4 linked regions of the Diceros bicornis minor genome follow. The protein of the gene in region 4 interacts with the protein of the main gene of each other region in a pairwise test. Links are inferred from orthologs where the notes say so. Each region holds a gene or a part of one and is shown on either strand. Other genes may lie near its edges. The genes, in order: BAZ2B, PSME3, MEAF6 and FXR2.

What was found.
Region 1: the proteins of FXR2 (region 4) and BAZ2B interact in binary tests that used the Homo sapiens proteins (3 or more experiments, as listed by UniProt). The two-hybrid records come from large-scale screens. The link is inferred for Diceros bicornis minor from reciprocal best matches to the Homo sapiens genes FXR2 and BAZ2B.
Region 2: the proteins of FXR2 (region 4) and PSME3 interact in a two-hybrid assay, tested with the Homo sapiens proteins (2 studies listed by BioGRID and IntAct). The link is inferred for Diceros bicornis minor from reciprocal best matches to the Homo sapiens genes FXR2 and PSME3.
Region 3: the proteins of FXR2 (region 4) and MEAF6 interact in binary tests that used the Homo sapiens proteins (3 or more experiments, as listed by UniProt). The two-hybrid records come from large-scale screens. The link is inferred for Diceros bicornis minor from reciprocal best matches to the Homo sapiens genes FXR2 and MEAF6.

Annotation. Positions count from the first base shown.
Region 1 is NC_080749.1:42,355,666-42,363,437, forward strand, and holds the start of BAZ2B (bromodomain adjacent to zinc finger domain protein 2B), read right to left. Parts: upstream 3,010-7,772; 5' UTR 2,915-3,009; intron 1,541-2,914; 5' UTR 1,336-1,540; intron 1-1,335. UniProt on the Homo sapiens protein: Regulatory subunit of the ATP-dependent BRF-1 and BRF-5 ISWI chromatin remodeling complexes, which form ordered nucleosome arrays on chromatin and facilitate access to DNA during DNA-templated processes such as DNA replication, transcription, and repair.
Region 2 is NC_080757.1:41,839,929-41,847,763, reverse strand, and holds the start of PSME3 (proteasome activator complex subunit 3), read right to left. Parts: upstream 3,018-7,835; 5' UTR 2,592-3,017; coding exon 2,517-2,591; intron 2,415-2,516; coding exon 2,382-2,414; intron 2,262-2,381; coding exon 2,199-2,261; intron 2,000-2,198; coding exon 1,895-1,999; intron 981-1,894; coding exon 932-980; intron 1-931. UniProt on the Homo sapiens protein: Subunit of the 11S REG-gamma (also called PA28-gamma) proteasome regulator, a doughnut-shaped homoheptamer which associates with the proteasome. 11S REG-gamma activates the trypsin-like catalytic subunit of the proteasome but inhibits the chymotrypsin-like and postglutamyl-preferring (PGPH) subunits.
Region 3 is NC_080752.1:51,572,138-51,579,951, forward strand, and holds the start of MEAF6 (chromatin modification-related protein MEAF6), read right to left. Parts: upstream 3,012-7,814; 5' UTR 2,982-3,011; coding exon 2,892-2,981; intron 1,737-2,891; coding exon 1,621-1,736; intron 1-1,620.
Region 4 is NC_080757.1:10,725,635-10,732,684, reverse strand, and holds the start of FXR2 (RNA-binding protein FXR2), read right to left. Parts: upstream 3,018-7,050; 5' UTR 2,690-3,017; coding exon 2,609-2,689; intron 1-2,608. UniProt on the Homo sapiens protein: mRNA-binding protein that acts as a regulator of mRNAs translation and/or stability, and which is required for adult hippocampal neurogenesis. Specifically binds to AU-rich elements (AREs) in the 3'-UTR of target mRNAs.

The sequences.
Region 1 (7,772 bases), on a different chromosome or scaffold from region 4:
CTAAGACTGATGTCGAAGAGCGTACTGCCTATGTTTTCTTCTAAGAATTTTATGGTTTCAGGTCTTACCTTCAAGTCTTTAATCCATTTTGAGTTAACTTTTGTGTATGGTGTAAGATAATGGTCTACTTTCATTCTTTTGCATGTGGCTGTCCAGTTTTGCCCACATCATTTATTGAAGAGACTGTCCTTTCTTGGATCCCTTTGGATCCCCTTGGATCCTATTCTTGGATCCCTTGTTGAAAATTAGCTGTCCAAAGATGTGTGGGTTTATTGCTAGGCTCTCGATTCTGTTCCATTGATCCATGTGTCTGTTTTTGTCCCAGTACCATGCTGTTTTGATTACTATAGCTTTGTAGTATATTTTGAAATCAGGGATTCTGATGCCTCCAGCTTTGTTCTTTTTTCTCAGGAAAGAGTCCCACTTGAGAAGAAATTGGTATCCTTTGTTTTCAACTCAGGGACCTCCCTATAAGCACTCTTATTTCATCCCAGGTATTACCTCCTGTTCCCCAAAAGTTTAAGAAATAACCTACTTTTGAAAATGATTTGATTTAGAAAAAAAAAGCAAACATAACCACACTTTTTCAAGACCACACCATTTATGCAAAGTGCAGAATATCTGTAAGATTGCCCTTGCCATCAAGAAGCTTCTTAGAAGGTTAGGTTGTGGGATGATAAAAAGCGGGGAAAACAGAAACTTTAAAATTCAATATGTGACAGCGAATTCTAAGCTATCAAGTAGTTGAAGAAATACTTAAGCATAAGAGTAAAGGGCTGTTATGACCAGGGTTAAATGACAGACAAATTATAATAATAGTAAGTAAGACTCTAATTTACAGAAGAAGTCAAGTTCAAAAATGGAAACTAATGTGAGTGGTGTGGGCAAGTGGTGAACTAAGATATTTAGATACCAAAGGTGTGTCACAGTTGGTCATAAAGATAAAAAGTTCAGCAAAGGAAGGTCAAGTGAGGGAACTCTGCAAAAAAGGCAATCATGGAATCTAGATTGGTCAGAACAGTTCCGATTTCAAATACTTTGCCTGTCAAATGATTTTGTCCTGATTTTTAGTTCAGAAAATACAGTCGCTATTGTACCTATTTGTACCTACAATTCCTAACAAATAGTCTTTAACATAGGAAAATCTCAATAATTATTTATTGATAGTTAATTACCTGGAAACTCAAATCAGAGAAAGTACATTAAAAAACAACAACTAACCATTCTTAAAAAAGAAAAACATACTTATCAGTGGTCTTTACATTTTCACTAGCATCAATAAGAAACTAGAGTCTGGAAGGTTTGTTTAGTATAGGAAATTGGTGCCACACTCACCTCTGATGATGTCATCAGTGCTGGGTGAGGATGAAGTCGTAATCTGCCAAAATCCCAACCATCCTTGCCAGGTTTGGGGGTTCTGTAGAGAAGTTATCACTACCAGGTCTGACTGCCATAGCTCAGGAAAATGGTGTAGTCATTCCTCTTAGCATAGAATATACTTCAGAAGAAGATGTTTAGGGGATCTATGTAATATGAAGTCCTAGAAAGGCAATATTAGTGGTGGTTTAGACATAGAATGTAATAGCTAACAATTATGGAATGCTTACTACATTTCAGGAACTAATGTATTATCTCCTTTAATCCTTTCCACAACACTATGGGGTATAGGTATTGTTATTAACCCCATTTTACAGGAAACCTAGGTTTAACAAGATTAAGGAATTGCTCAAGACCAGAAATGTAGTAAGAAGCAGGGCTGGGATTTGAACTCATGTAGTCTGGTGCTTCAGAATGTGTATATCCATAACGATAATGCTACAGGTATACTCAAACAGGCTGGAAAAAAATTATTTTTATAAAAAGGACAAATTAATTTCCTCAAAAGTAATCTGTGTTCACTTTATCCCATACTAGATGCTTAATCTTCAACTCATATCCTAAAAAGTTAAACTTTAAATAATAATAATCAAACTTTAAATCCTTAAAAACCTATAATGTTTTACAATTTATAATAATGAAGCACGGACAGTCTGTTAGTATCCAAGACAGAGGGAAATGAGGATGATAGTGAAAGTACATTCCCTTCAAATGAAATGACAAAGAAATACATATAAACCTTATACTTCATTTATTAGAATCATTTGGAGCCAATAAATTGCTTGAAACAACCTAATAAAATACGTCACTTTAAAAATCAAGTGCCATCAGTATGCCTCCAAGTTTCAATAACTTATCTTCACCGGTAAAGAACTTTTATGTCTGATATATTACTCAAAATCCACATATCACCTAAATCCACATAAATTGTGGCGTTTTTCTCTAACCTACTGCCTTTTATTTATTAGTACTCATTTACATCTTAGTCTACCACATTTACACTTTTTTGGAAGTTTCGTCTAATTTTCACCAGACCATTTTCGTCCCTCTTTCTAAATGGATGAATTTTTACTGCAAAATCTGTAGCTACACTGTCAAAGATTAGTATCAAGATTATAAAAGACATGACTGTAAAAGTACACCACCACCAAGACTGAATTACCACAAGCAACGAAAGGTCCCGGACAAATTGGCTCCTAGCCTTAAGGGGAGGGCTTTGCAGACATCAAATAGGCGGGCAGGCAGTGCTTGATTCAAGTCAATAAACATTCACTGCGCCACTTACCAAGCGCAAAAAAAGAACAGAAAAAAAGAGCCGGGCAGTATTTCGGGCAGTGGGCCCTGCAGGCTTGCCGGAGGGGGCAAGAGCAGGTGGCGGGGACTCGGGTGCCGGGGAGCGGCAGGGCTGGCTCAGAGCCCCTCGCCAGTCAGGCGACGGCGGCCAACCAGGGCCGGGCCTCCAGCGCCCCGTTCCCGGCGCCCGCACACTCGCCGGCCCAGCCGCCAGCCCGCCGGCCGACCAGCCACAGCCGCTTACCGGTGGCGCCTCGCTGCCTCCCCGGGGCCAGCCCTTCAACGGTTGCCGCAGTCAGAGCACCACCAGGCGGTGGGGTACGTCGAGCCCGCCCGCAGCTCTCGGAATCCCCGCAGCGCTGCCACTCTCGCGAGAAGCCGGCGGAGTCCGCGAAGTAGGGGGAGGAGGAGAAGGGAGGGGCATTTAGCGTTGGCGGCTTGTTCTGCGCCGGATACGGGAGAGGGCCGGGCGCCATTGTGCTTTCCTGCCGCTTGCTCTGCCTCAGTTAGAGGCCTAGAACTCCGAGGAGGTGCCCGGCGGTGTGGTCGCTGCGAGCGGGACGCTCCCTGTTCGATGCCATCTCGGGAGCGGCGGTAGTAAGCTGCGGAGATCGGGTTTCTGCCTCTCGGGGAGGTGGTTCTAGTGAAGGCCGCGGGTGGGGGAGGGGAGGAGACGAAGTGCCGGCCTGGGGACGCGGAGGCCGCCTCCTTCCTCTCAAGGTGGGGTGGAGGAACTTGATCCGGGACCACGGGTTCGAAGGGGAGCTGGGCGCAGGCCCGCTCTGCCGGTGGCCTTTCGTCCCGTGGTGGAGTTTGTGATGGGTGGAGGGGGCAGATTGCGTGTCCTTATGGACGTGTGGTGGGCGAGGGCAAGGGGCTTGAGCCCTGATTTGGTCTCTGGCCTCCTCTTCGACCGGGGTTAAGGAGGTTCCTCCGGAGCCCTGCGGGCCTCGAGTGTCACGAGCGTGGTATTTAGAGAGCGCGGTGTTGAAGGAGCGTGGTATTTAGAGAGCGCGGTGTTGAAGGCAGGGAGGGCTAGGGCTCCGCCAACCCAGCCTCGACTCGAAGGGGCTTTGGCAGCCTCTTCGATGGGGCGAAGATTGGCTTGTTGATCGTTCCAGTTCTTGAATATCGTGATACTTCGGAGTCCTCTTGAATTGAAGTAAATTATCTGTTCTTCAAATTGAAATAGGTGGTGATATGTGTAAAAAAACGGACCTGTTGGCATAAGAAGTAAAAATATGGAAGGCACCAGTAGTAACATATTCCCTCATTTTGATGAAACTGCGTAGTGAAGATGAACGTGTACAAGTACACAGAAAAATCCTGCGATTAATACTTTTTTCTTACGTACAGATGTAAATATTAGTATATGGGGAAAATCTCTGTCTTGCTCATAAATTCTTCACGACTGGTGTTGTTTGGCACTATTAAGAGTAAATGTGCCAACTGAAATTGAATTTAGTAAGATTTTCTTTTCGATTTTTAGGACTTTTTAGGGGTTTTTCTATTTTCATTGTTTTAAATCTTCCCTTTTTATTACTCATATCTCTCCGTTTCTGTCTAGAACTAAGAGGTAAGGTTAAAGATGAAATTTCGATTTAAAAATCGAACGATATACTGTTAAGGCAGGCGTGTAGTGTAACTAGATTTCTTTCGTGGGTAAAAATTTTGTTACAGGAATGGGGTCAGTATTTTGTTTACAGCTCTACAGCATTTTATGAAACAGCAGTGGTGTATGAGGATTAAAGTCAGAAGATCTGGGTTTAAGTCTTGATTTTGCCGTAATTATTTAACCTCTTTAAATTTCCTTAGAAATGTAGTAGTTAATTCCTAGAGTTGAGGTGAGGATTAAATTAGGTGAGGCAGTGTGTAGCAGTAACACGCTGGGGGACATAATACTTGCAGAGTGAATTTTTAATGGATATTAAACAATTGGAATTGATACATAAAATCCAGTTATTTATATTTAGGCATTCTGATCAGAATAACCTTAAAATTTAATCAGCCTGTAATATATCCCCCATAGTGCTGCTTCTCATGCATAATAATGTTAATATAAGTTCTAGACTACAAATGTTTTTAGATAAGAACTTTTTACAACTCTTTTTTTGCCCCAAATTATACCACAGATGTCAGTATGGTCGGTATGCATAGTCTTGGATTTTTTCCAAAGTTGCATGCTGGGTCAGATGTCTTGAATAAGAATGATTAAAAATTCCTACTTATTTAAGTAGAAGTGATTTCTCTTTCTACCATATTGGCAAGAGAGCTTATTTTCCCCAGATAAAGCACAAAGATGCCTGTATACAAACAAGCACATATATTCTACGTGAAGATGTCAGATAATCAGCTTGGACATTAAAAGTCATCCTTGGCTCTCCAATTTTTAATGGGCTCCATATATCTACTTCACACGACTCTTCATCTGGTATATGTTCAAGAGTTGCCTACATTTTAGTATTTTAGGAAAATAATTTTAATAGTGCAAAATCATCAAATAATGTAAAGCATTTTACATTACAAAAATATTTTACATTATTTGATAATTTTTATTTGTTGTATTCTGGCTACTAGATTAGGGCTTCACATTACAAGAATGCTTGACACAGCACCTGCCCTCTACAACTCACAATTTAGCTATCAGACTAATGTAAATAACTACTGCTATTACTTTAGTGTAAATGTATAGTAGTACTGTGGAAGCACAGAGGAGGGCTGTTTAATTTTGAGGGAAGTTTTTATAGGAAGTATTGCTTGAACTGAGAAGTGAAGGATGACTAGGAGTTTCATAAGGAAACTGCAAAGTCACGGTATCATGGTTGGTTTTAGGAATGGACAGTTTGTTCCCCATAGCTGAAACAATTGAATGGAAGGTTACAGCATGACATGAAAGACCTTTTGTACTGTTTTTTAAGAAAGTTAGTGCTCTGTGCTGTTGGGAATGGATAGCTATTGTGTTCCGTCAAATAAAAATGATTTTTAGATTATCTTTGCTGATACATCCTTATGTTACTATGGATAGTTAAATGCCAGTAAAGAACAGTGGGAAATGCATTAGTGAAATGTACAGGCTTGCGTCAAACCTCATTTTTAACCAACAAATTAAACTTAAGAACTAATGAACCTTTCAGCTGTTAAATAACTGAATGAACAACTTAGCATATTAGGATGATTACTATTTAAAGTAAGATTTTGAATTCCTACTGAGATCTACTTGAATTCATTAAGGCAAAATTCTATTACAGCAAAACAATGTATCTTCTCACAAACCATTATTTTACAAAAATTCTATCTTTGATGAAGTTGCTAATCATAACATGAACCCAAAAGAGGGGGATGACATAATTTGAGAGTTGGCTGGGGTTTAATTTTCATTGATCTTAATTTTTAACTTTTCTGCTCTGGTCTGAACTCGTGGTCAAAGCTGGTTTTTCTTGCTCTCAAATCTGTTTCTCTGTGGCTCTACTGGTTAGACTAGATAAGTTGAACACCTGGTTTTAAAAGCACCTACCGCTCTACACCCACTTTTGTCACCAGCTTTAAAAGAGGGCAAATTTTGAACCTTAAATGCTAGTTCTCGTCTTTCCATTATGATCCTTGCACTTACTGTAACGTGTTTCTCACTTTCTGGAAGAAAACTTGAAAATGATTTCCACTTAATGAAGATTGAAACTTGATACAGATTAGATAAACTTCAAAGGAGAAGATTATTTTATAAAGTACTCTAGTGTAGACTTAGTATCATAGCCATATTTTCTCATGGAGATGTTAAACTTTTTTCTAGTTATTATTTTTTAAGACTTGAGTATATCTTTGTTTCTTAAATATTTGTCAGCTAAAAATCAAGAGACTTTTTCTTTTTAAAAGACCCAAAAAGTTCTGTGCTTTTACAGTACTTTTCTCATGTGACTACCTTTAGTTTCTATGTCTCCATATTCACTATGATCATTAAAACACTAGGATTTCCCATTAAGAAAAAAAAAAATTTTCCCCCAGAAGCAGATTTTTTAAACAAAAAGATAAACCAAGTAGAAGTAAATAATGGAATTGTACCTATGTTTGTATTTCTGGAAAACTATTGGCTATCGAAATACATTGGTATTTTGTGTGATATCTCTGGCCTTCATGCCATGAATTTATTGGATGGTAATGTGCTTTTGTTAATTCAGTAACTGCAGCTACCCTGAATATATAAGACAAATTCTAAGTCAGACTCTCAAATAGAATCAGATTTTTCATAGAAACTGGGTACATAATAATTGTAGGAAAGTAAAAGGATAGGTTATGAAGCTCTACTCTATGGCTGCATTGCAAACCACCTCAAAACCTAGTGGATTAAAACTGTTTACTAATTTTTTACAGTTCTATGTGCCTGTTGGACAGTCTGCTGGTTTTGCCTGGGTTCACTCATGTACCAGCCTTCAGCTGGAGGGTTTCTCAGGCTGAAAGGTCCAAGGTGACAACACTCACATGTCTGGCAGTTGGTGTTGGTTAACGTTGAGGCTTTGCTCCATGTGGTCTTTATGACATGGGGGTCTCAAGACAGCATTCCAAGACAGTGAAAGTGGAAGCAGTAAGACTTCTTACAGCCTTGCAAATCATATAATGTCAGTTACACTGCATTCTCTTAGTCAGAGTAAGTCTCAGAAGGCTAGCCCACAGTGAAGGGACAGGAAAATAAGATTCCACCTCTTTTGTGCAGACCAGCAACATCACAATGCAGAGGGGTGTGCATACTTGAATGGGAAGCATTCGTAGCCATATTTGGTCATTTACCACAGGTTGCTTAGAACATTATCAGAAGAGGCATCCTTAAAGATGTCATGATTGGGATTTGCTTTCAGATAGAGGGTGGTAAAATAGACAGCAAGATAGGTCAAACGTTGATAATTGTTGGAGACTATTGCTTGGTACATAGGGGTTCATTATTGTCTCTACTTTTGAGTACCTTTGAAATTTTTCATTGTAAAAAAATTTTTTAAGGCATACTCAGGTAATCTAAACTCTATTCTGTGAAGTGATTTTAACCTTATTTTCCACTTAGTATTTACTAGAATAGCAGTAATTGTTTAATATTTACTACTTCCTTTGTGGTATGT
Region 2 (7,835 bases), about 31 Mb from region 4:
TGGAGGGCAGGACACAGCATCCCCCACCCTTCTCTCTTCTTCCCCAGACCTGTGAGATGCTATGACCTCTGCCTTTTTTTTTTTTTTTTTAATTTTTATTTTTTTCCCCCAAAGCCCCAGTAGATAGTTGTATGTCATAGATGCACATCCTTCTAGTTGCTGTACGTGGGACGTGGCCTCAGCATGGCCGGAGAAGCGGTGCGTCGGTGCGCGCCCGGGATCCGAACCCGGGCCGCCAGCAGCGGAGTGCACGCACTTAACGGCTAAGCCATGGGGCCGGCCCAAGATTTGTTATAAGTAGTCTTGTTTTTTTTTTTTTTGCTGAGAAAGACTGGCCCTGGGCTAACATCCGTGCCCATCTTCCTCCACTTTATATGGGATGCCACCACAGCATGGCTTGCCAAGCAGTGCGTCGGTGCACGCCCGGGATCCGAACCGGCGCACCCCAGGCCACTGCAGCAGAGTGCGCACACTTAACCGCTTGCGCCACCAAGCCGGCCCCTGACTTCTGCCTTTTATCTATCACAACCCTATCTACAAACCATGACACCACCACAGAATTAAAAACAGAGAATGTATGGATTAACAAATGAGTGTCCAAGGTATGCCAAAGGTCTGAAGAATAAGGAAATTAAAATATGCTCTAAAGATTTAATACACCAATCATTATTGAAGAGGAAAAAATAACATGGAATTGGAACTTCTGTGAAAGATCTGCAGTGTGTAGCCATCTCCAATCTCTCTCCCTTGGCAGTCCACACTAAATCAAATCCTTCTTGTTTATTGGAAAATTAGGTTTAGAGTGCTAAACAATGACCATGTTATGAGAACTTGGGAATGCTAACACTGGGAAATAAAATAAGATCCTGCTTCCTGGCCAGCAGAACACCAGATCCATCCTGCAAACTAGGGAGTAGGGGTTGGCTCTTACCTTGGAAGGCCTCTTCACATTCATCCAACCTTCGCTTCTTGTAAGTGGGCTAAGGATACAGAAAGACAGGAATTAGCCTGCTCTCAACATCCACGTCCCCATCACAAGTTACCTTTTAGCAAGTTTAATCCCTTCCTCAACCCCACAGGTTGTCTTATTAATTGACGCACAATTTACTAAGCACATACAAGGCTTTAAGAAAAGGTCCTTGCCACAAAGCAACTTACACTCTAGTAGGAAGACCAAGCTTTCAAGAAATATAACACAGTAAGCATATAGCGGAGGGGGTGGATACTATAAACAATAGGAAAAATGAACCATTCAATGCAGGGTGCGGATAATTAAGGGAATATGTACAAATCTGCTGGTTCCACAAAGAAACACAATATTCAGTTAACAAATGTATTGAGCATCTGCTATGTACCAGCAACAATGTTAGGTGCTGGGGATACTAAGATGATTAAGACAGTTTCTGCTTTCCACAATTACAAGTTCTATCAATGAGACAGTAATGCAGACAAAAGACAATACAGTGTCATCAGTGTTATAAGAAAATGTGGATATATAACTGATAAGGATTAGGTGCTGAAGATACACAGCAAAGACAGAGACTGCAGTTATATAGCAAGAACTACTCACCCCATAACAAGACTCCAGACATTGAAACAGGTAAGAAAAGTCTTACTTAGAGCCAGGGGGACAGACCAGATAACCTGAGGGAACCTGCAGCTATTAGTCCTATTTGAAACCCACTCTAACACGGAGTAGTATTAGCATATTCACCTCATGCTAGAAATGAAAGTCAGGGTGTAAAGGGGGTGTACTGTAGTCATCATGTCTCTAAAAGTCCTCGTTCTCAGATTCAAATCCCACTGTCCCCTCTGCACATGCTCAAACTGACCAGGAAATAGAGGACAGAGAACCTATTGCTTCAGGACACAAAGATAAATATAGGACGCTTACACCGTCCAGTCCATCGTGACTATTGGTGAGAAGAATGGGGTCAGGAACTGGGAGATTCATGTCTGAGTGGATCTGAGTTAGGTCATGGATGTTTAGGATTGGTTCCTGAAAGAGAGACACCCACCCCCAAAACAAACATTAGTCTTTTCAAGATGAACAAAGAAGTATTTCATTTGAAGGGCAAGAAATGAGAATGCTTTACAGTACAAAACAAAACAGAACCAACACATCATTTGTCCCATTTGACAGAAAGACCAGGGCCAAAAAAATTAGGGAATTTGAGGAAAAGAAAAGGGTCTCTCACCTTCAAAAAACTATCAAGTTCTAACAACTTCTTTGGGAAAAAGTTTGCCACCAAGTCTTCTGCCTAAAGATGAGGGGAAATACAGTTAAATTAATAATTGTGGGAAGGTCCCTCTCTGATATCTCTTCTTTTGGAAAGTCCCAACTATTAACCAACACTCATTTTTCTATTTATTTCACTCACCTCACTTGTGATCCGCTCCCTGAAAGAATCAACCTAAAATTAACAAAGAGAGCAATTCAATAAAAGCAAGTCAATACCTGGCAACAGAAGTAAGGGCTGGAGTGGGAAACCCAAATCCGGCTGTCTTTCCCTCACCTTGTAACTATAATTAGAAGCTGAAAGGCCCCCAGACTGCAAATACTTTATTTTTTTGAGGATCCATTTCTCCATCTCAGGAGAGGGAAGCAGGGCTTTGAAGGCAGCACCCACCTGTCTTCCCTCCCTCTCTCCCTGTGTCTGAATTTGAGAGCAGACAAAAGACAGGTAGCTAAGGGAGGTGTGACCTCACAAACGTGCCAACCCCCACCCAAACCTGGCCTACGATATCAGGCAGGCCTGACGCCAAGGGCAGGGGCAGCGTCTGGCGGCGGCGATGTTGCTAGGCTCGGGGACTTCCAGCTGTCACTAGTCTAGAGCACTGAGTCCACCACGTGTTCGCAGAGGTCTCCCCGGGGCTCTCCACCACCAAACGGGATACAGAAGACCACCCTATTTTATCCTCTCCACCGATGGCGTCTCCGGGAGTGGGGGGCTGGGCTGAGCAGAGCGGAAGCTCAGAGCTGGTGTCCCCAGGGAGATAAAGACTTCCCAGGGAGTGGGGAGGCGGTCAGACTGCTCGGCATCGAAGCGAGGGGTAAGGAGGCCCGGACCGGTGCCGCTACCTTGAGCTTCACTTCCTGATCCACCTTCAGCAACGAGGCCATGGCCGGGCCGGGCCGTGTCCGTTCCGCTGGAGACCGGAGGCGCTGTGGGCTCCGGGGACACGGTCAGAGGGACGGCAGGAATCTCGGCTGCTCTCGGGACGCGGCCGCCCTCGTTGGCTTCCTCACTGCTGACTCCGTTCCTCCGTGCCGCCCGCCCGCTGCCTGCTGGCTCTCTCGCTCGCCCTCCCGGCTTTCGCCGCTCACGCCGGAAGTTACGTCACAGCCAATCGCCGGGACTCCGGCGAGGATGCGCACGTGCCGTGCGCAGCCGCGCTGAGTTTCGGCTCCGGACGCTGTGGGCCCGGCTTATGTCTCCCTGGCTCTAGTTCCCAGGAGGAGTGAGGTAAGAGGGAGGGCGGCGGAGGGTGCTTTACTGAGAACTGAGCCTCACAGACTCGAGCGCTCGCCTTCACCGAGGGAACCTTTTGAGCCGCGGCCGCCTTGACAGTACCGACGACGCCGTCGCGCACCGGTGACGTCGGCCCGAGGAAGACGGCGGTCGCGGCGCTGGGTTCAGGGGGTCTAGTCTGCGATTCCTGCAGCCGCTTCCTGTTGGCCGAAACTCTAGTGTTAGGATAAAGCCAAACAGAAGACAAGTTGTATTGTACCAGACTTCCCCACCTTTTTCCGCCACTTATTCTCATACACTTCCAGACCTCAGAGATCAACTGCCTGATGGGCAGATTGACGCCCAGAGTTGGGTAGTGCTTGTCTAAGGCTACACAGTGTTTCCAGTAAATCCTGGACCAGAGCCCCAATCTCCTGACTTCGAGGACAATGCTGTATCCCTTTCCTAATGGAATGCAGAGACTATCTCTTCACTCACCCATTCATTGGGTCTGTCTCTTAACGTTGATTATTTCGCTTAATAAAATGGGCCAGGACCGTCCCGGAGTCTAGAAATATAATGTGAGTCACTTACGTAAGTTAAAATCATCTAGTAGCCACATTAAAAAATAAAACAGGTGAAATTTATTTTGATCATGTTTATAACCCAGTTTATCCAAATACTATCATTTCAACGTGTAATCAATATAAAAAATATTAATGAGATCTTGTGCGTTCTTTTCTCATATCATATCAAGTCTTTGAAATCTGGTATGAATTTTACACTTACTGCACATCTCAATTCAGAGGCATCACATTTGCAGTACTCTAGAGCCACATGTGGCTAGTGGCTCCTGTATTGAACAGCACAGCTCTGGGAAATCAAAGATGAAAAAGACTCAAATTGTCTGGTCTCATGGGTCTTAATACTGGAGAAAGGCACCAGAAAGTAAACCTTCAACATAATTGCAAAATTTGATAAATGTTAGGAAACAAATGACTGATGTAGAGAGTACTAGGAATCTATTTTAGATAGAATGGCCAAGGAAGTCCTCTCAATGAAGTTAAGCTGAAATCTAAAGGATATAAAAGAGCTAGCTTGGGAAGAGTGAGGGGAAGAGCCTTGGGAAGATGCAGCACAGGCAGATGCCCTGGGGAAGGAAACATGTCCTGTTGAAGAAGTTGAAAAACTGGTTAGTGAGCTAGGGCTGGGGGTGGGAGTGGGAATGGGGTGGGGAGGGTTGTTAGGAAATAACTTTGATTAAGTGCAAAGGCAGGTCATCTGATTTACATTTTGGGGTCACTCTTGTGGCTGAACACTTGTCCTGGGCAGGCCTCTGTGCTAAGAGCAAGGGATATGGTGGGAATACACAGTTAAATGAAGTGCGACTGACTATGGCCTTTGGAATCAGAGAGACCTGGCTTCAGATCCCACCTCAGCTTCTTATTGTGATATCTTGGAAAAATACTGAAATACTGAGTCTCAATTCCCTCATCTGTAAAATAGAATTTTAATCATTGTTAGTAAATAATATGTAATTCTGTAGCGTTGTTGTGACTACTGGAAATCATATATATGTAAAAGAACTAGCACAGTGCCTGGACACAAGGAAGGCACTAGATAAATAGTAGCCATTGTCGGATAAGCTACCTGTTAGTGCTTAGCATGAGGAGGTTACTCCTTAAACTACGTAATTATCATCATCCCTGCTTTCAAACTCAAAGCACTTTTCCACTTATTCAAGGCTGCATACAACATAGCCTATACTACCCATCTTGCTCATTAACGTGTAACGGTTTTCCCCCTTTTACCTCTGCTTTCTGTTAACATTGTCCCTAGTAACTTTTGAACTCTGATCTGGAACTTAACTTCAGGAATGCTTTCCCAAATTAACTTCATCCTATTTTAAGTATGCCATTATCCTTCATTTCTTTCAGAATTAGTAACTTCAACTTGAAAACTTAATGTGTTTGCGCTTGTTGAAATATGGCTTTGTTCTTAAATAATCATGTTTTGTCTCCCTCAAGTAAGTTGTAAGAAGACAGATACACATTCCTTCTTTATTTCTCTTCCTCCTCCCCATCCAAACATTTTATATAATACTCCACTCATTTGTTTATTTATTTATTCAGTGAACAATTGCTGAGGGCACCACTATATTTAATAAACTTTATTCATTCCAGGGTGCTTATGAATCAAAATGTGATCACTGATGACTAGTCTCATTTATTTATTTGTTTATTTTTTTGGTGAGGAAGATCAGCCTTGAGCTAGCATCCATTGCCAATCCTCCTGTTTTTGCTGAGGAAATTAGCCCTGAGCTAACATCTGTGCCAATATTCCTCTATTTTGTATATGGGATGAGGCCACAGCACGGCTTGATGAGCAGTGCGTAGGTCCGTGCCTGGGATCCAAACCTGTGCACCCTGGGCCACCCAAGTGGAGTGCACAAACTTAACTACTATGCCACCAGGCTGGCCCCATGGTCTCACTTTAAATGCATGTCCACAAATCTCAGATGGGTGCACAACGCTGCCTGGGAGCCTACTACATGTTCCTGACAAGTTTACTCTCCCAGATTCAAAATGACTATCATATGTTCTCATCTTCCTAAACCTCCAGTATCCCTCCCCTCTCACCTCTAGTTTATGGTCTTGGCTCATTCTTCATTGAGAAAACAGAAGTAAATGAGAACTTCATCTCGCCACCAAATCTGCTAGCTTGCAATTACTTTCTGCCTTTCGTCCTCTTTCATTGAAGGAAACATCTCTGTTCCCATCAAAACTCAACTCTTCCTTTTGTGCATTGGATCCCATCCCCTTTCACCTTCTAAAAGTCTGTGCTCCAGTGATTATCTATTCTCTTTACTATATTACATTTATCCCTGTCTACTGGATCATTTCCAAACATGACAGATATTTTCCATCTTGAGGAAAACCCACCCTTGAACCCAGGTTCCTCTCTAGCTATCGCTCCATGTTTGTGCTCTTCTTCATGGCAAGACTTCTTGAATGATATTGTCTCTTACTCTGTTCCTCATCTCCTGTTTACTTCAATCCACTCCAATCAGGCTTTCCCACCCCCTGTTCTCACTGAGGTAATTCTCGTTAGGTTACCAATGACTTCCATGTTGACAGCACCAGCGGTCAACTCTCTTCATCTTACTTGAACCTCTCAGTGGCACTCAACACGTTAACCATCCCTGTTCTTAAAACATACACAGCAACCTGTTCTTCCAATTTTCCTCTAACTTCAGTGGTGACTTCTCTGTTTCCTTTGCCGGCTCTTCCTCCATTGCTCCACTTCTTAATGATGGCATGCTCCAGGGCTCAGTCTTATGTCCTTTATTCTTCTCCACTTACACTTTCTTCCTAAGAGTTATCACCTGTGTTCATAGCTTTTAATACCGTCTGTATGCTGATGGCCTTAAATTGATATCTCCAGTCCTGACATCTTCACTGAGCTCTGTCTATTTGATATCTCTACTTACACAGTTAATAGGCCTCTCAAACATAACGTGGCCAAATCAGAATTCTTGATTCTGCTACACAGCTGTTATTTTCCTGCTCTGCCCCATCTCAGTTACCAATGCAACTGTCCACCGACTTGTTCAAACCAAACACATCAACCTTGATTCCTCTCTTTCCCTTATCTCCCCACGTTCAATCCATCAGCGGGTCCTGTCAGCTTTACCTGTATAATGAATCCCATATAAGTATGCTTTTCTCCATCTCCTCTCTTGGTATCCTAGTCAAAGCCACTGTCATCCTTCGCTAGGACTATTACAATAGACTCCTCTCTGGTCTCTCCCTTTTCACTCTTGCCACCCCCTACCTCCCCCCCACAGTCTAGTCTCTACTCAGCACCCAAGATTTAATTATCTTTTAATATGTCAACCACAAGAATGGCAGTATCTACTAAAGCCGAATAAATAGGGCCGGCCCTGTGGCTTAGTGGTTAAGTGCCCGCGCTCCGCTACTGGCGGCCTGGGTTCGGATCCCGGGCGCGCACTGACGCACCGCTTCTCCGGCCATGCTGAGGCCACGTCCTATATACAGCAACTAGAAGGATGTGCAGCTATGACATACAACTATCTACTGGGGCTTTGGGGGAAAAAAGTAAAATAAATAAAATAAAAAAAAAAGCTGAATAAATTATATGTGTATATATATATATATGTATGTATATATATCTGTGACCCAGAAATCCTGACTCTAGGAACAAATTTTTTTTTTTTTAATTTTATTTATTTATTTTTCCCCCTGCTTCTCACCCTCAATGGTTTCCCAGCTAACAGAGGCCCTCCTGAATCCCCCAGTTGAAGTAACTCCACCCACCCTTGCCCCTGCTTATTCTCTATCACATCACCATCTTTTATTTTCC
Region 3 (7,814 bases), on a different chromosome or scaffold from region 4:
TGGAACATTCCACAAGACAACCTCATAAACAACTTCACCACCAAAAAAGTGGGAGACTCTCCAAAATTAAGAAACTAAAGAGACGTAACAGCAAAATGCAATGCACGGATGCTACGTGGATCAAAACAAGGTAGCAAAGCATTTTGGGGACAATTAGGGAAATCTGAATAAAGACTGTGTATTAGATGATGCTATTAATTTAGTGATAATTTTCTAAGCACGATAACTGTGGTTAGGTAAGAAAAATGTTCTTATTCTTAGGAGGTAATAGCTGGCATAATCAGGGGCAAAGTGTTATGATATATCTGCTTTTAACCTTTAAATGGTTTAGCAAAAAAAAAAAGTATGGGGAGGGCCGGCCTCGTGGCTTAGCGGTTAAGTGCGCGCACTCTGCTACTGGCCGCCCAGGTTCAGATCCCGGGCGCGCACCGACGCACCGCTTCTCCGGCCATGCTGAGGCCACATCCCACATACAGCACCTAGAAGGATGTGCAACTATGACGTACAACTATCTACTGGGGCTTTGGGGGGGAAAAAAAAAAGTATGGGGAAAGGGGTGATATAACCACAAAGAGGCAGCCTGAGGGAGATCCTTGTGGTGATGGAACAATTCTGTATCTTGTTTTGTTTTTTTATTTATTTTTCCCCCAAAGCCCCAGTAGATAGTTGTATGTCATAGTTTCACATCCTTCTAGTTGCTGTATGTGGGACGCGGCCCCAGCATGGCCAGAGAAGCGGCGTGTCGGTGCGTGCCCGGGATCCGAACCCAGGCCACCAGCAGCAGAGCGCGCGCACCCAACTGCTAAGCCACGGGGCCAGCCCCAATTCTGTATCTTGATTGCAGAGGTGGTTACAGGCATCTACACACATGATAAAATGACAGAACTACATATACACATTGTATCGATGTCAATTTCCTGGTTTTGATAGTGCACTAGAGTTACATAAAACCCAACCATTGGGGAAAACTGGGTGAAGGGTACATGAGACCTCCCTGTACTGTTTTTGCAACTTCCTACGTATCTATAATTATTTCAAAATTTTTTTAACAAGTTAAGTATAGATAGATGTGTGTGTTTACATATATTATAGAGAGAGGAAGAGAAAAGAAAGAGAGAAAGCAAATGTGGCAACAAGTTAACAAGTGGTGAATGCTGGTGAAGGGTAACAAGTGTTCATGCACTATGCTTTCAATTTTTCCATAGATTTGAAAAATTTCAAAAAGTTCAGACAGTTTTCAAAAATAATATTACTAAATAAATAGTAGTACAGTTGGCACACAGGTATGGCAAATATCGTGAGGGCGGAGCTCATGACTGATTAAAATGTGGAAAATACTAACAAGAGAGCTGCTGTGTAAAGTATTATATGCTGTACTTCATTTAAGCCTCACACAACCCTGTGCCATAGGCTGGACTTTCTACTTTAGTGATGTAGGATTTGTCCGGAATTACTCAGTGAAGCAATGGCTGAGCCAGAGTCCAAGTTCAAGCCCAGATCTCTTTCCCCACCACCACTTTATTACTGCCTCCCTGCAAACTTGCCACCAAGAATACATATATCCTTAAAAACAAATACTACTAGGGTACAACACAAACACTGCAGGCTTCTGACACTCACTTTTGGTTGGTCAGATACCGATCCCAGCCACGAATAATGTTGCCATACATCTGAGTGTCCTCCAGGTAGCTCCCTTCAAACGCATAGATCTGTCTCTCCAAGTTTGCCAGTGTTTCCTGAGAGATGAAAAACAAGGAAAATGGATAATGCCTTTGAAACGCAAACGTTAAGTCTGATCAAACTGAAAACTCAAGCTCAACTACACTAAACCACCCTGGTAGAAAGACGGATCATATGGGGAGGGGCACGCTGCTTCAGACTAAGCCAGTCTAGACCTGTCTTGTTGGATCCCTTTGAGAATAGAATGGAATAGACAGAGCGCGTCCCCAGAAAAATATACACGCGTGCAAAATTGTCCATATATTTCAGAGGGTTCATAGAAACCTAGCTGTCAAGAACCCCGGCTGAGGCAGAACGTGAGCGGTCGCCACTCCCACGCATAAAAGGTACCGCTACCGGGGAGAAGGAAGGCTGCGCAGCCTCCTGCGCCAACTCGCTCCCCTCCCGGAAGGCTCAGAGAGGCCGCCTGCGCTAGGCTGCCAGTTGCTATGGAAACCTGGAAGGGCAGCTTCAGGTGAGATGGGCCTCCCGCTGCCCAAGCCAAAACGCCATGGGGAGGGAGGGCTTAGCCATCAGGGTGCATGGGACCCTGGCTGCATGTCACAATTCATAATTCCCTAGACTGAGCCCGTTCCCCTCGCCTGTCACTTTCTAGATGTTCCCAAACACATCACATCTGCCCATCAAAAACCCCATCCAACGGATCTACTCCTAGTTCCCAAAAGGACATGCGCCCCTCCATCCTCCAAAGGCCAGACTGGATAACAAGGTGCCCCTCCCATACCCGCCCTGGTGCTACCCCACCCGCCCCAAAGCCCACCGGCAAGCCCGAACCAATCTCCTACAGCCCACCGACACGCCCGCCCCAACCCCCAAAGATCGCGGACCCGCCCGCTTTCCCCCAGCCCGCAGAGCTCACGGACACTCGCCTTTCCAGGCTCCCACGCACAAGCCCCCACTCCCAGGCGCATCGTGCCTCCACGCCCCCGCCCGCCCGGCCCCCTCCCCGGCTCCGCGCCCCGCCCCCGGCCCCGGCCCCGGCCCCCGCTCCGCACGGCCGCGACGCCGAGGCGCCGGCGGGCCGCGGAATGCGCAGCCCGGCCTCGGCCACCGGACTCCCGGGGTAACGGCCTGGCGCGGCGGGGCTGGGGCCCGGAGGCGCGCGCGGGCGCGGGGCACCCACCCGGGCGCCCCGAGTGCCAGCCCCTCACCGCCAGCTCCTGCTTCCGCTTCACGAGCTCCGCCAGCTCCCGCCGGGTGTCCGGGATCTGCGGCGGCGCCGCCTTGTTGTGCATCGCCATGTTGGGCTGAGGCGGGCGGCGGCGGCGCCAGCTGGGGGCGGTCCCTGCGCGCCGCCGCCCGCCAGGGGGCGCCTGCGCCGCACTGCGCCTGCGCGCCCGGCTTCCGGAGCCGCGCGCCGCGCTCTCGGCCTCGGGCTCTCGCGCGCCTCGCCTCGGGCGTTAGCGCTCTGCTCCTGGTCGTAGCCGTGTTTCTCCCCTGGCTGGACGTCTGGGCTTTACGGACGCCACGAATTCACCGTGTCCAAAACTAACCTCCTCCTAAGTCGCCTCAGTGAACGACTTGCACTGTCCACCCAATTGCCCAAGTCAGAAACCTGAGTATCATGCTCATTCTCCTTCACCCCCTTAATCCCATGCAAAACCAAATCCTGTGGACTCGACTCCAGAAGAGCCCGCAAATCCGTTTGCTTTTGTCTGCCACCTCCCTCGTTCATCCAGGCCCTCCCTACTGTTGGCTACATTATTCCAACAGCCTCCTGTTTCCACCGTTAGCTCTATTTAGTCCATTATCCACAGTGGTGCCAGAGGATTTGTTTGTGGAAAACAAACGTGGTGTCTCTCCCCTGGTTAAAATCTTTCAATGGCTTCCCATTGCCCTTTCGAGAGACAAGTATGTGCAGCGGTTAAGGACGCAAACTGGAGCCGAAACTACCGTATTCAAAATCCTGCCTCTACCGTTGATCAGCTGTGCCGCCTAGGGCAGGCAGCTAAATTTCATTGTCCCAACTTCCTCATCTATAAAACATAGGTAGTAATGGTACCTACCAAATAAAATTGCTGTGAGGAGTAAATCGCTTAATGTAGGGGCTTGGCAAGTAATAGGGACTACGTATAAGTATTAGCATTTATCTTTAAGCCCAGCATCCTTAACTTTGTTTTCACTTGGCCCCTGCTTCTTCCCCAGCTCTCTCTATTTTTCAGGGTTCTGCAATTTCACTATCGCGAATGGGATTTTTTTTTTTCATTTTTTTTTTTCTTCCTCGCTTGGATATCTTTCAGTTTCTGAAATCTGTGGATTGATATCTTTCACCAGTTCTGGGAAATTCTCAGCTATTTTTCTTCAGATATGCCTCTGCCTCATTTTCTCTCTCCTTCTGGAACTCAGATTAAACATAATAATCCTGTATGTATGTATGTATTTTTGAGGAAGATTAGCCCTGAGCTAATACCTGTTCCCAATCCTCCTCTTTTTGCTGAGGAAGATTGGCCCTGGGCTAATATCCCGGCTGGGCCGCCCAAGCAGAGCACGTGAACTTAACCTCTACGCCACCAGGCTCCCCCTAATCCTTTATTTTTTTGCCTACTGTCTTTTTTCCATCCTTTTTGTCTCTCTGATGCATTCTGGATAATTACTTTTGTGTGTTGATCTTGTAACCTGGGATCTTGCTGAACTCCCTTATTAATCTAGGAGGGTTTTTTGTAGATTCCTTGGGATTTTTTACATAGACAGTTGTTTCAACTGCAAATAGGAAGTTTTATTTTTTTCTTTCTAATCTGTATGCTTTTTATTTCCTTTCTTTGCCTTCCTATGCTGGCTAGGACTTCCAGTTCTATGTTGAATAAGAGCAGTTGGAGTGGACATCCTTGACTTGTTCCCTATTTTAGGAGGAAAGTATTCAGTCTTTTACCATTAAGTATGATGTTAACTGTAGGGTTTTTGTAGATGCTCTTTATCAAGTTGAGGAAGTTTTCCTTTATTCCTGGTTTACTGACAGTTTCTATCATGAATGCGTATTGAATTTTGTCAAATGCTTTTTCTGCATCAATTAACATGATCATGATTTTTTGTCTCTACTCTCTTGATATGATGGATTACATACATTCGTTTCCAACTGTTGAACCAGCCTTGCATATCTGGAATAAACCCTACTTGGCCATGTTGTGTAATTATTTTTATCTATTGCTGGATTCAATTTGCTAATATTTTATCGAGAATTTTTGTGGCTAAGTTCATGGGATGTTGGTCTGTAGTTTTCTTTAAGTTAGGAGGTGTTCCCTGCTTTTCTGATTTCTGAAAGAGATGGTACAGAATGGTGCTAATTCTTGAAATGTTTGGTAGAATTCTTCAGTGAAACCACCGTCTGGGCCTAGATATTTCTTTTTGGAAGCTTTTAATTACACATTCAATTTCTTAAATAGTTATAGGACTATTCAGATGATCTACTTCATATCAGGTGTATTTTGGTATTTTATGGTTTTGAGAAATTGTTTGATTTCATCTAAGTTGTTAAATTTACGTGCCTGAATAATTTCTTTTGACATATCTTCCAGTTCACTAATTTTCCCTGAAGCTTCTGTTAAAGCCATCCATTGATGGGTTTACAGTTATTGTGTTTTTCATTTCTAAAAGTTTTTGTGTGTGTGTGTGTGAGGAGGATCAGCCCTGAGCTAACATCCATGCTAATCCTCCTCTTTTTTTGCTGAGGAAGACCGGCTCTGAGCTAACATCTATTGCCAATCCTCCTCCTTTTTTTTTCCCCAAAGCCCCAGTAGATAGTTGTATGTCATAGTTGCACATCCTTCTAGTTGTTGTATGTGGGACGCGGCCTCAGCGTGGCCGGATAAGCAGTGCTTCGGTGCACGCCCAGGATCGAACCTGGGCCGCCAGTAGTGGAGTGCGCGCACTTAACTGCTAATCCATGGAGCCGGCCCTCTAAAAGTTTTAGTTGGTCTTTTATTTTTTTATTTTTTTTCTGTTAAAATGATTTAATATTTTGTAAATGATACAAAATTTCTTCTTTTCAATTAATGAGCTATTTTCTTTTTTTTTTAATTTTTTGTTTATTGCAGTAACATTGGTTTATAACATTGTATAAATTTCAGGTGTACATCATTATACTTCTATTTCTGCATAGATTACATTATGTTCACCATCCAAATACTAATTACAACCCATCACCACACACATGTGCTGAATTATCCCTTTTGCCCTCCTCCCTCCCCCCTTCCCCTCTGGTAACCACCAATCCAATCTCTGTCTCTGTTTGTTTGTTTGTTTATTGTTGTTATCATCTACTACTTAGTGAAGGAAATCATACGGTATTTGACCTTCTCCCTCTGACTTATTTCACTTTGCATAATACCCTCAATGTCCATCCATGTTGTCACAAATGGCTGGATTTCATCGTTTCTTATGGCTGAGTAGTATTCCATTGTGTATATATACCACAGCTTCTTAATCCATTCGTCCCTTGATGGGCACTTAGGTTGCTTCCAAGTCTTGGCTATTGTGAATAACGCTGCAATGAACACAGGGGTGCATGTATCTTTACGCATTGGTGTTTTCAAGTTCTTTGGGTAAATACCCAGCAGTGGAATAGCTGGATCATTTGGTAGTTCTATCCTTGATTTTTTGAGGAATCTCCATACTGTTTTCCATAGTGGCTGCACCAGTTTGCACTCCCACCAGCAGTGTGTGAGAGTTCCCTTCTCTCCACATCCTCTCCAACACATGTTGTTTCCTGTCTTGTTAGTTATAGCCATTCTGACGGGCATGAGGTGATATCTCATTGTAGTTTTGATTTGCATTTCCCTGATAGTTAATGATTTTGAACATCTTTTCATGTGTCTGTTGGCCATCTGTATATCTTCTTTGGAGAAATGTCTGTTCAGGTCTTTTGCCCATTTTTTTAATTGAGTTGTTAGTTTTTTTGTTGTCGAGATGCATGAGTTCTTTATATATTTTGGAGATTAACCCCTTATCAGATGTATGGTTTGCAAATATCTTCTCCCAATTGTTAGGTTGTCTTTTCGTTTTGTTGATGGTTTCCTTTGCTGTGCAGAAGCTTTTTAGTTTGATGTAGTCCCATTTGTTTGTTTTTTCTATTGTTTCTCTTGCCCGGTCAGACATGGTGCTTGAAAATATGTTGCTAAGACCGACGTCGAAGAGCATACTGCCTATGTTTTCTTCTAGAAGTTTCATAGTTTCAGGTCTTACATTCAAGTCTTTAATCCATTTGGAGTTAATTTTTGTGTACAGTGTAAGGTAAGGGTCTACTTTCATTTTTTTGCATATGGCTATCCAGTTTTCCCAACACCATTTGTTGAAGTAGTTGGTCTTCTAAATAACTTCCTTTTCATTTGTTGCCATTTCTTGTTCCCTGTGGGTATTTTAAAATTTATCATTTATTTCTTTGAAAATAGGAACCACAGGGCCAGCCCTGAGGCAGTTAAGTGCGCGTGCTCTGCTGCTGGCGGCCCCGGTTCCGATCGGGCTCGCACCGACTTATGACTTGTCAGGCCATGCTGTGGCGGCATCCCACAAAAAGTGGAGGAAGATCGGCACAGATGTTAGCTCAGGGCCAGTCTTCCTCAGCAAAAAGAGGAAGATTTGGCATGGATGTTAGCTCAGGGCTGATCTTCCTCACCAAAAAAAAAAAAGAAAGAAAATAGGAACCATGAACATTTTATAGTATCTTCTAATGCAAGTATCTGAAGTCTTTGAGAATCAGTTTCTGTTATCTTATTTCTGTTGGTTCTCAGCTAGAAGTGCCTTTTCTTTCTTTTTTTTAAATTTTATTTATTTATTTTCCCCCAAAGCCCCAGTAGATAGTTGTATGTCATAGCTGCACATCCTTCTAGTTGCTGTATGTGGGACGCGGCCTCAGCATGGCCGGAGAAGCGGTGCGTCGGTGCACGCCCGGGATCCGAACCGGGGCCGCCAGCAGGGGAGCGCACACTTAACCACTAAGCCACGGGGTTGGCCCTAGAAGTGCCTTTTCTTTGCAGAAAAAAATGTGGCAATAACTGGAGGGGAGATAAAAAGTCCCTTCCTCCAAAGAGCAATTTCATTTATTTCTGTCAGACACCAGGAGGCACTAATAGTACAGCGTC
Region 4 (7,050 bases):
TTCTGAGAGGGGTAAAAGGGACCTTCCCAAATTTATAGTTCTGGAAGCAATATAAACAAACACTCCTTGACCCACACTGAAATTTGCTGAGTCATGAATATTAAATCAGTAGCAAGGTCAGAATAGCTAAGTATCTATATGGCACTGAAAGTTGAAGAAAGATTAGTTGAATTTAGAGATTTACTATTGTTTTTAACCGAGGCATGGGGCAGAAAATGCTAAAGTAGCCAGAACACAAAATCCACATTACCTAGCTTTCAGCTTAGCTCCAAACTCTACTCTCTGATTCAAAGTATCCTGTCCCCAATTCACTCAAGTCTATCATTGCCACAGCCCACAGGAGAAAAGAAAAAGATTCAGAGAGCGATTTTCTGTTGGACACTCATATGTGGAAAGGAAAACATCTCCCTTCCCAGTTTTCTTTTTTTTGTGAGGAAGACTAGCCCTGAGCTAACATGCGATTCCAGTCCTCCTCTTTTTGCTGAGGAAGATTGGCCCTGGGCTAACATCCATTCCCATCTTCCTCTACTTTATATGGGACGCCGCCACAGCATTGCTTGACAAGCGGTGCATCGGTGCGCGCCTGGGATCTGAACCTGCGAACCCCGGGCCGCTGACATGGAGCGCGCGCACTTAACCGCTACACCACCGGGCCGGCCCATTCTTCCCAGTTAATTTGAAGTGGATACCAATCTTTCCCAGCTGCACTTGGCTCCCACGTTTCCTAGAACAAAAGCAAACATCATATCTTGATCTCAGACTCAATTTAAGAATCACTCTTCTTGGAACCCAGAATTTCGAGTGGGAAGGACCCAGATGAAAGACAAGATGGGAAAATTGGGGCTAAAATCTTATGAGGAAGGGTATTTCAACAAAGGTAATGCTGGTTTGGGGGAAAAGGATATAAGAGACAAATGTACTCTGTCAGAATCAGAAAGGAATTAGAGACTGCCAAAGAAAACAGAAATGCTATGGAGACAGGCTAGAAGAAAAAGTCCCATGAGTTAGGAAAGTATGCAGAAAAAATGACAGAAGAGGATCAGCTGGGAGCTTCTTTGAGACACGGAGTAAGATAGTTCCTGGGGATTACAGAGGAATACAGAAATACTAGGATAAAAAGCCAAAGACTTAAATTCAGAGAATAAGTTAAGATAGACAGATGTGGGTACCCTCAGGCACTGAATATAAAAAAATCTGGTGAGGGAAGTAGGGCAGAAATGGATAGGCACTTAGAGTGGGTAAAAAAATGCCTACACTGAACTTACCAACTGAAGCTGGGGCAGAAACCTTCCACTACAAGCGCAAATATGAGACTCTTTCCAGTTACAGTAAGATATAACTTCACAAGGAAGGAGCTGGAGAAAGTCATTTCCAAGGGCATGAAGGTAGAGAGCTCTTTTATGGGAGAATAGGTTTGAGGGGAAGTAAAGGAAAACGGGGCTCTTCTCACAAGTGATGTTATGAGAAGATATCTCAGCTCTTGCTCCTCAGGGTAAAATGAAAGACTAAGACAGAAATGTCTGCAAAAATTCCAGGCATAAAGTCCAAAGCAGTTCAAAATAACAACAGTCACACAAAGAAAAATTCCTGAGAGGCAAGAGGGGTCTCCCTCTGGCTAAATGTAAATGTCCTAAAAAATGTCCTAGAAAAGGAAATCTAAGGAACCAAATCCTGGGTGATGGGCAAGCTTAAGTAAACAAGGATCTTTTAAAGACAGTCCCCTTCTTCTTCAAAAAAAGGCTATCAGATTCCCAAATTGGGAGAGTTGGCCAAAAGTCTTCTAGAAGTGGAAATCCTTAAGACAGAAGGAATCCTCATGAGATCCCCTTTTAGAGATCATGAATACGAAGCTTACACTCATTTAGAAACGAAATGAATGATCTAAATGTATTTGAGGTGAAAGTGAGACAACAAATACAAATCCACCCCTGGGTAGACTGGTAAACCAGCTAGCCTTGGGATGAAGGGGTGGGGTGAGAGACTTGTGAAAAGATGCCACCCTATGGCTAAGGAGGCAACTTGATGGTACAACCCAGAGTTCCTGAGGTCAAAGATAACAAATGTCATAAATGGATTTTGACCGTTTCTCCTTGGGTTGGGAACAGAAATACAAGATGAAAGTGGGGTGAGTCTTCCAGAGCCAGTAGGAAGAGGCCTCTCCCAGGAAGACGAAAGGATCTAATATGGGACGGCCTTCCCAAGGGGTTAATAGGGAAGAATAAAGAGAATTCTCCATGTGCTTGGACTGTGGGGAAGATGTGATTAAGGTCTAAGGTATGTCTTCCACTAGGAAACAGGAAAAGTCAATAGGAAGCTGGGTAAATGGGGTCTCTTGGCGACGGGGGCCGGAGCGGCGGACGACACTGATCTAAGCACAATGATGACCTGATGTTCAGTCTCTGAGAAGGAGGTAAAAGCAGGTGAAATACCAAGAGGTAGGGGGTTAACTTCCAGAGGTCTCCCCAGGAGGGCTGCGGGTGAAAGTGTGGGTCTCAGGTTCTAAGGGTCAGGACTTAGCTCCAGAAGCTCGATCCCGCCCCACTCTTCCCTGCTCTGGCTGGAGGGAGGGGGCTAAAGACGGGTGTCCCCGGTCGGCGCGCCGCCTCACCTTGTAGAAGGCCCCGTTGGAGCCGCGCACCTCGACGGGCAGTCCCGGCTCCACATCCCCCCCAGAGGCCAGGCCGCCCATGGCGCCGCCACCTCCTCCGACTCCCCCGGCGGCTGCTGCAGCAGCGGTCTGACCACGGGCCGGGCCAGGGCCCCGGCGTCTCCCCGGAGGAGGAGCCGGAGGGGGAGCCGCGGGGGGCGGGAGCCGGGCCGGCCCCACGGCGGCCCTGCCACAGCCAACGAGCAGGGGGCCGGGGCCGGGCCGCTCCCCGTCCGCCGCCGCCGCCTTGGTCTCCGCCACCGTGAGGGAAACGGCCGCCGCCGCCGCTGCCTTCGTCACCTCAGCTTCCGCCCGCCGCCGCCCCGCAGCTGCCTCAGTCCCGGGACCCGCGGCTGCCGCTGCCTCTCCACGGCCTCCACCTCCCCCTGCCGCCTCCGCCTACTGCGCAGGCGCACCGCGCACCCGCCCGCCGCGCGCGAGGCCCCGAGGCTCACGGCGCAGGCGTCAAGACTGGCGACCCAGCTCGTGCTCGCCAGCGCATCAGGGCTTCCACAACTCCGTTTCACTCTCGCACGCCCCCTCCTGGTCGCTTACTTGCGCTTGCGCAGAACGAGATTGGCCCCCTTTCTTCGCCACCACCACTCCACCGCCCCCAGCTCTTCCTTTCCCCGCCCCACAACACTGAGAGTTAACCAATCGTGGGGAGGGAGGAGCCGAGCTCACTCAGTTGGATTGGATTTCTGCAGCTCCTGGTCAGACCACAGCCACTTTACCACTGGGAACTCCCCCAGGCTTGGACAAGTTAGGGATGGGCATGCGCCTAAATGACTGCTTGGTCACTTGCCCCACCTTTGTCTTTCTTGGTGCGCACGCTCTAAAGAAAAAAAAGAAGAGGAGTCGAAAGGCAAAAAAAGGTGCCCGGTGCGCAGGCCCTGAGCTTTACTGTCCATAGGCGTCTACCGACTCTTGAGCTTCTGTAACTCCTTCCCATAGGAAATTTGAGTCACGTTGTTGCCTAGAGAAAATTCTGATCATGCATATAATGAAAGGTTAAAAAATAATTTCAAAGCAGTACCGAAAAGCAAGTGCAACTTAGATCAGCACAAAATGTGATATCTAAAGGCTGAGGAAATTCAAAATAGGAACAATCGTTATGGAGTAAGGATAGTAGAGGGGAAACTTCGGGTTCTTGAACTAAGGAAGAAATTTAGGTAGAAGCGAATAAAAATAGCACAGAAATTAGAATCACGTGTTGTGCATTTAGTCATTTAGCAAAAATTTATTTAGCCTTCACTGTGTTCCAATCACTGTGCTAAGTGCTGGGGATACAAAGCCAAGATGTGGTCCCTGATCTCAAGGAATTTATAATATATTGGGGAAGGGGCAATTAAACAAGTTTAAATAAATAAATTAACAAATAAGTGCATAGAGTTTGACTGAAGATATGATAGAGATAAGGATTAGGGATAGAGAAAATTCCAAGGAGACAATGGTCAGTTGTTCTTCGGAGTGATCAGGGAAGGCCAAGCAGAGGTGATGCAAATTGAGATTTGAGGGATGAATAGAAGTTTGCTAGAGGAAAAGTGCAGTAAGAGTATTCGTGAGAGAACAAGGAATACAATGGTGCAGAGGAGCAGAAAGAGTATGTCTTTCGGGGGAACCACAACCAGTTCAAATAGCATTTGGCTTGAAGTAGGGAGCTGCAGGAAGCTAGACTGTGAAAGACTTGCAAATCAGATTAAAGAGAATGGCTTTTACTTTATCAACAACGGAGAGCCATTGAAAGGTTTTAAGCAGTAGTATAATGGGATAAGATTTACATTTTACAACTGTGGAGAATAGATTAAAGAGTAAGGGTGAGACCTGTGAGGAGCCCTTGCAGGTAAGAAAGATGCTGAGGATCTACCTTGATTAGGGCTCAGGGTAACAGAGGTACAAGTTGATTTACACCTGTTAAATTTGCAGTAGAATCAACAAGAATTGGTGATGAGGGTTCGGTGGGGTGGGGGTGAGGAGCCAATGAAGAAGAGGGAGGAACACGGGACAACTCTCAGATTTCTACCTTGGGTTACTGAGTGAATGGTGATGCCAATCATGGAAGAGAGAACACAAGAGACAAAGGTTTGGAGGAGAAGTTGATGAGTTTAGTGATTTTAGTTTCCCTCTTTGAGTCAGAGGATCCACCATCCAGGTGGACACGATCCTTTGTCTTCAACAAACTTCTCTTTCAGGTCTCAATTTCTCGGGCCGCCCCGTGGCTTAGCAGTTAAGTGTGCGCGCTCTGCTGCTGGCAGCCGGGGTTCGGATCCTGGGTGTGCACTGACGCACCGCTTCTCTGGCCACGCTGAGGCCGTGTCCCACATACGGCAGCTAGGATGTGCAGCTATGACATACAACTATCTACTGGGGCTTTGGGGGGAAAAATAAATAAATAAAATTATTAAAAAATATATATATAATTTCTTTAGCCTTCTACTATGCCCACACTAGGTTAGGCCTCCCACCTCCCACTGCCAAAGCATCCTATATTCCTTTGTGGCACTTATCATGGTTGTAATGTTAATGATTTGTCCAGCATCTTTCTTCTGCCATTACACTATAAGCTCTGTGAGGTCAGAGACTGGGTTCCATGTCTGTTTGTCCCCACCATTGTACACCCAGGACCTGGCACAGTTCCTGGAATGGCAAATATTAACTGAATGAAGGAATCAGTGTCCTGCAGGTCAATGGACACACAGGCGTGTGGCCCAGGAGAGGTCTGGGCTAGAGAGGTGGATGTGGGAATCATCAGCATGTTAGTCATAGTTAAAGCTGTAAGAGAAAATTAAATCTCTAAAGGAAAGTGTAGACTGAGAAATGAATTGGGTCCATGATGGAACTCTCAACTACACCAGTATATGAAGGGCTGATAAAAGAAGAGGAGCCTTCCAGGCGCCTGAGAAGGAACAGCAGTAAGTAGGGTAACAGAAAGGTAAAGAGACTATTAGCAGTGATTCTGGTAAGGAGTAGGGAGAGTTAGAGAACTTAAGTGGGGCAGATTATCAAGAGTGCTGGCTGTCAGACTGAAGAGTGTGGGTTTGGACTCAAGCAGTAGGGGTGACAGAATTTTGTTTTAGAAATGGCCCCATCACCAACTTCCAAGCTTTTGGCACCAACAGTCCTCTCAGGCTTGATTTTTCCTCTTCCTTATCTGCTCTGGTCATTCTTGATTCAGGCAAAGGATGGGAGTGGGAAAAGGGGAACAGCATTTCAGACAGGAGAATGGCATGTGCAGACAGCTCAGAGAGGAGAATACAGTGCATTTGAGGTACTGAAAAGAGTCTAACATAGTTAGAACCGACTTGGAGAGGAAACATGGTTGGAAGGGTTGGTTTGGGCCAGAGCTTGGAGGGATTAAATATATTTAGAAGTTTGGACTTTCTGCTGAGAGCAGAGGGAGCCATTACCGGATCTTCAGCAGACTTGCCTTTTAGTAAGATTATTCTAGCTGGAGTATAAAGGATGTGTAACAGAATGATCCAGCTTGCCTTAGGACTTCTGGTTCTTTCTTTTTATTTTTTTGTGAGAAAGATCGGCCCTGAGCTAACATCTGCCAATCCTCCTCTTTTTTTGCTGAGGAAGACTGGCCCTGGGCTAACATCCATGCCCATCTTCCTCTACTTTATATGGGATGCCACCACAGCATGGCTTGACAAGCAGTGCGTCTGTGCGCACCTGGCATCTGAACCGGCGAACCCCGGGCCGCCGCTGCAGAGCACCGGAGCTTGTGCACTTAACCGCTTGTGCCCCCGGGGCCGGCCCTGCCTTAGGACTTCTAAATAGAGAGATTGGGAGGAAGATAGAAAGAGGGATAGATTGATAGATGGATGGTTAGATAGATACTGAAAATGAGGATTAAGTGAAAGTTTACATACTGAATGTTAAGACTTCCCCCAGACTCCTTCACCCAGCTCTGAGAATACCTACAGCCAGGTTTATACCCTCCAAGTAGGAGTTTGGAAGAGCCTTTTCTGGAAATCTGATCAGACAAGAAAAAAGACCTAATGATACTGAAATCAGAGGCTCCTCATGGAAATAGCCTAGTGGATCACCCTATAGGAGAGGCCATAGTCAACATGCCTCCCTACCGCCCACATATACACACACAGTTTCCAATCAGTATTTTAGTGTCCCAATCTTCAATATCAGCAGACAACTAAGGATTACCAGACATTTGAGGAAAGCCTCTAAAACGAAAGACAGAAGCCAAAACAAATAGAGAAAGAAAAAAAAACATAGAAGAAATAAAGACTATGCAAGGAGAAAAGCATTTTTAAATAAAACTATCATGAATATCCTCAAAAAGAGAAGAAAAGAACATATATCTATGAAACAAAAACAGAATGTTTAAAAAAATGCAGAGAGGGCTGGCCCCGTGGCTTAGTGGTTAAGTGCGCGCACTC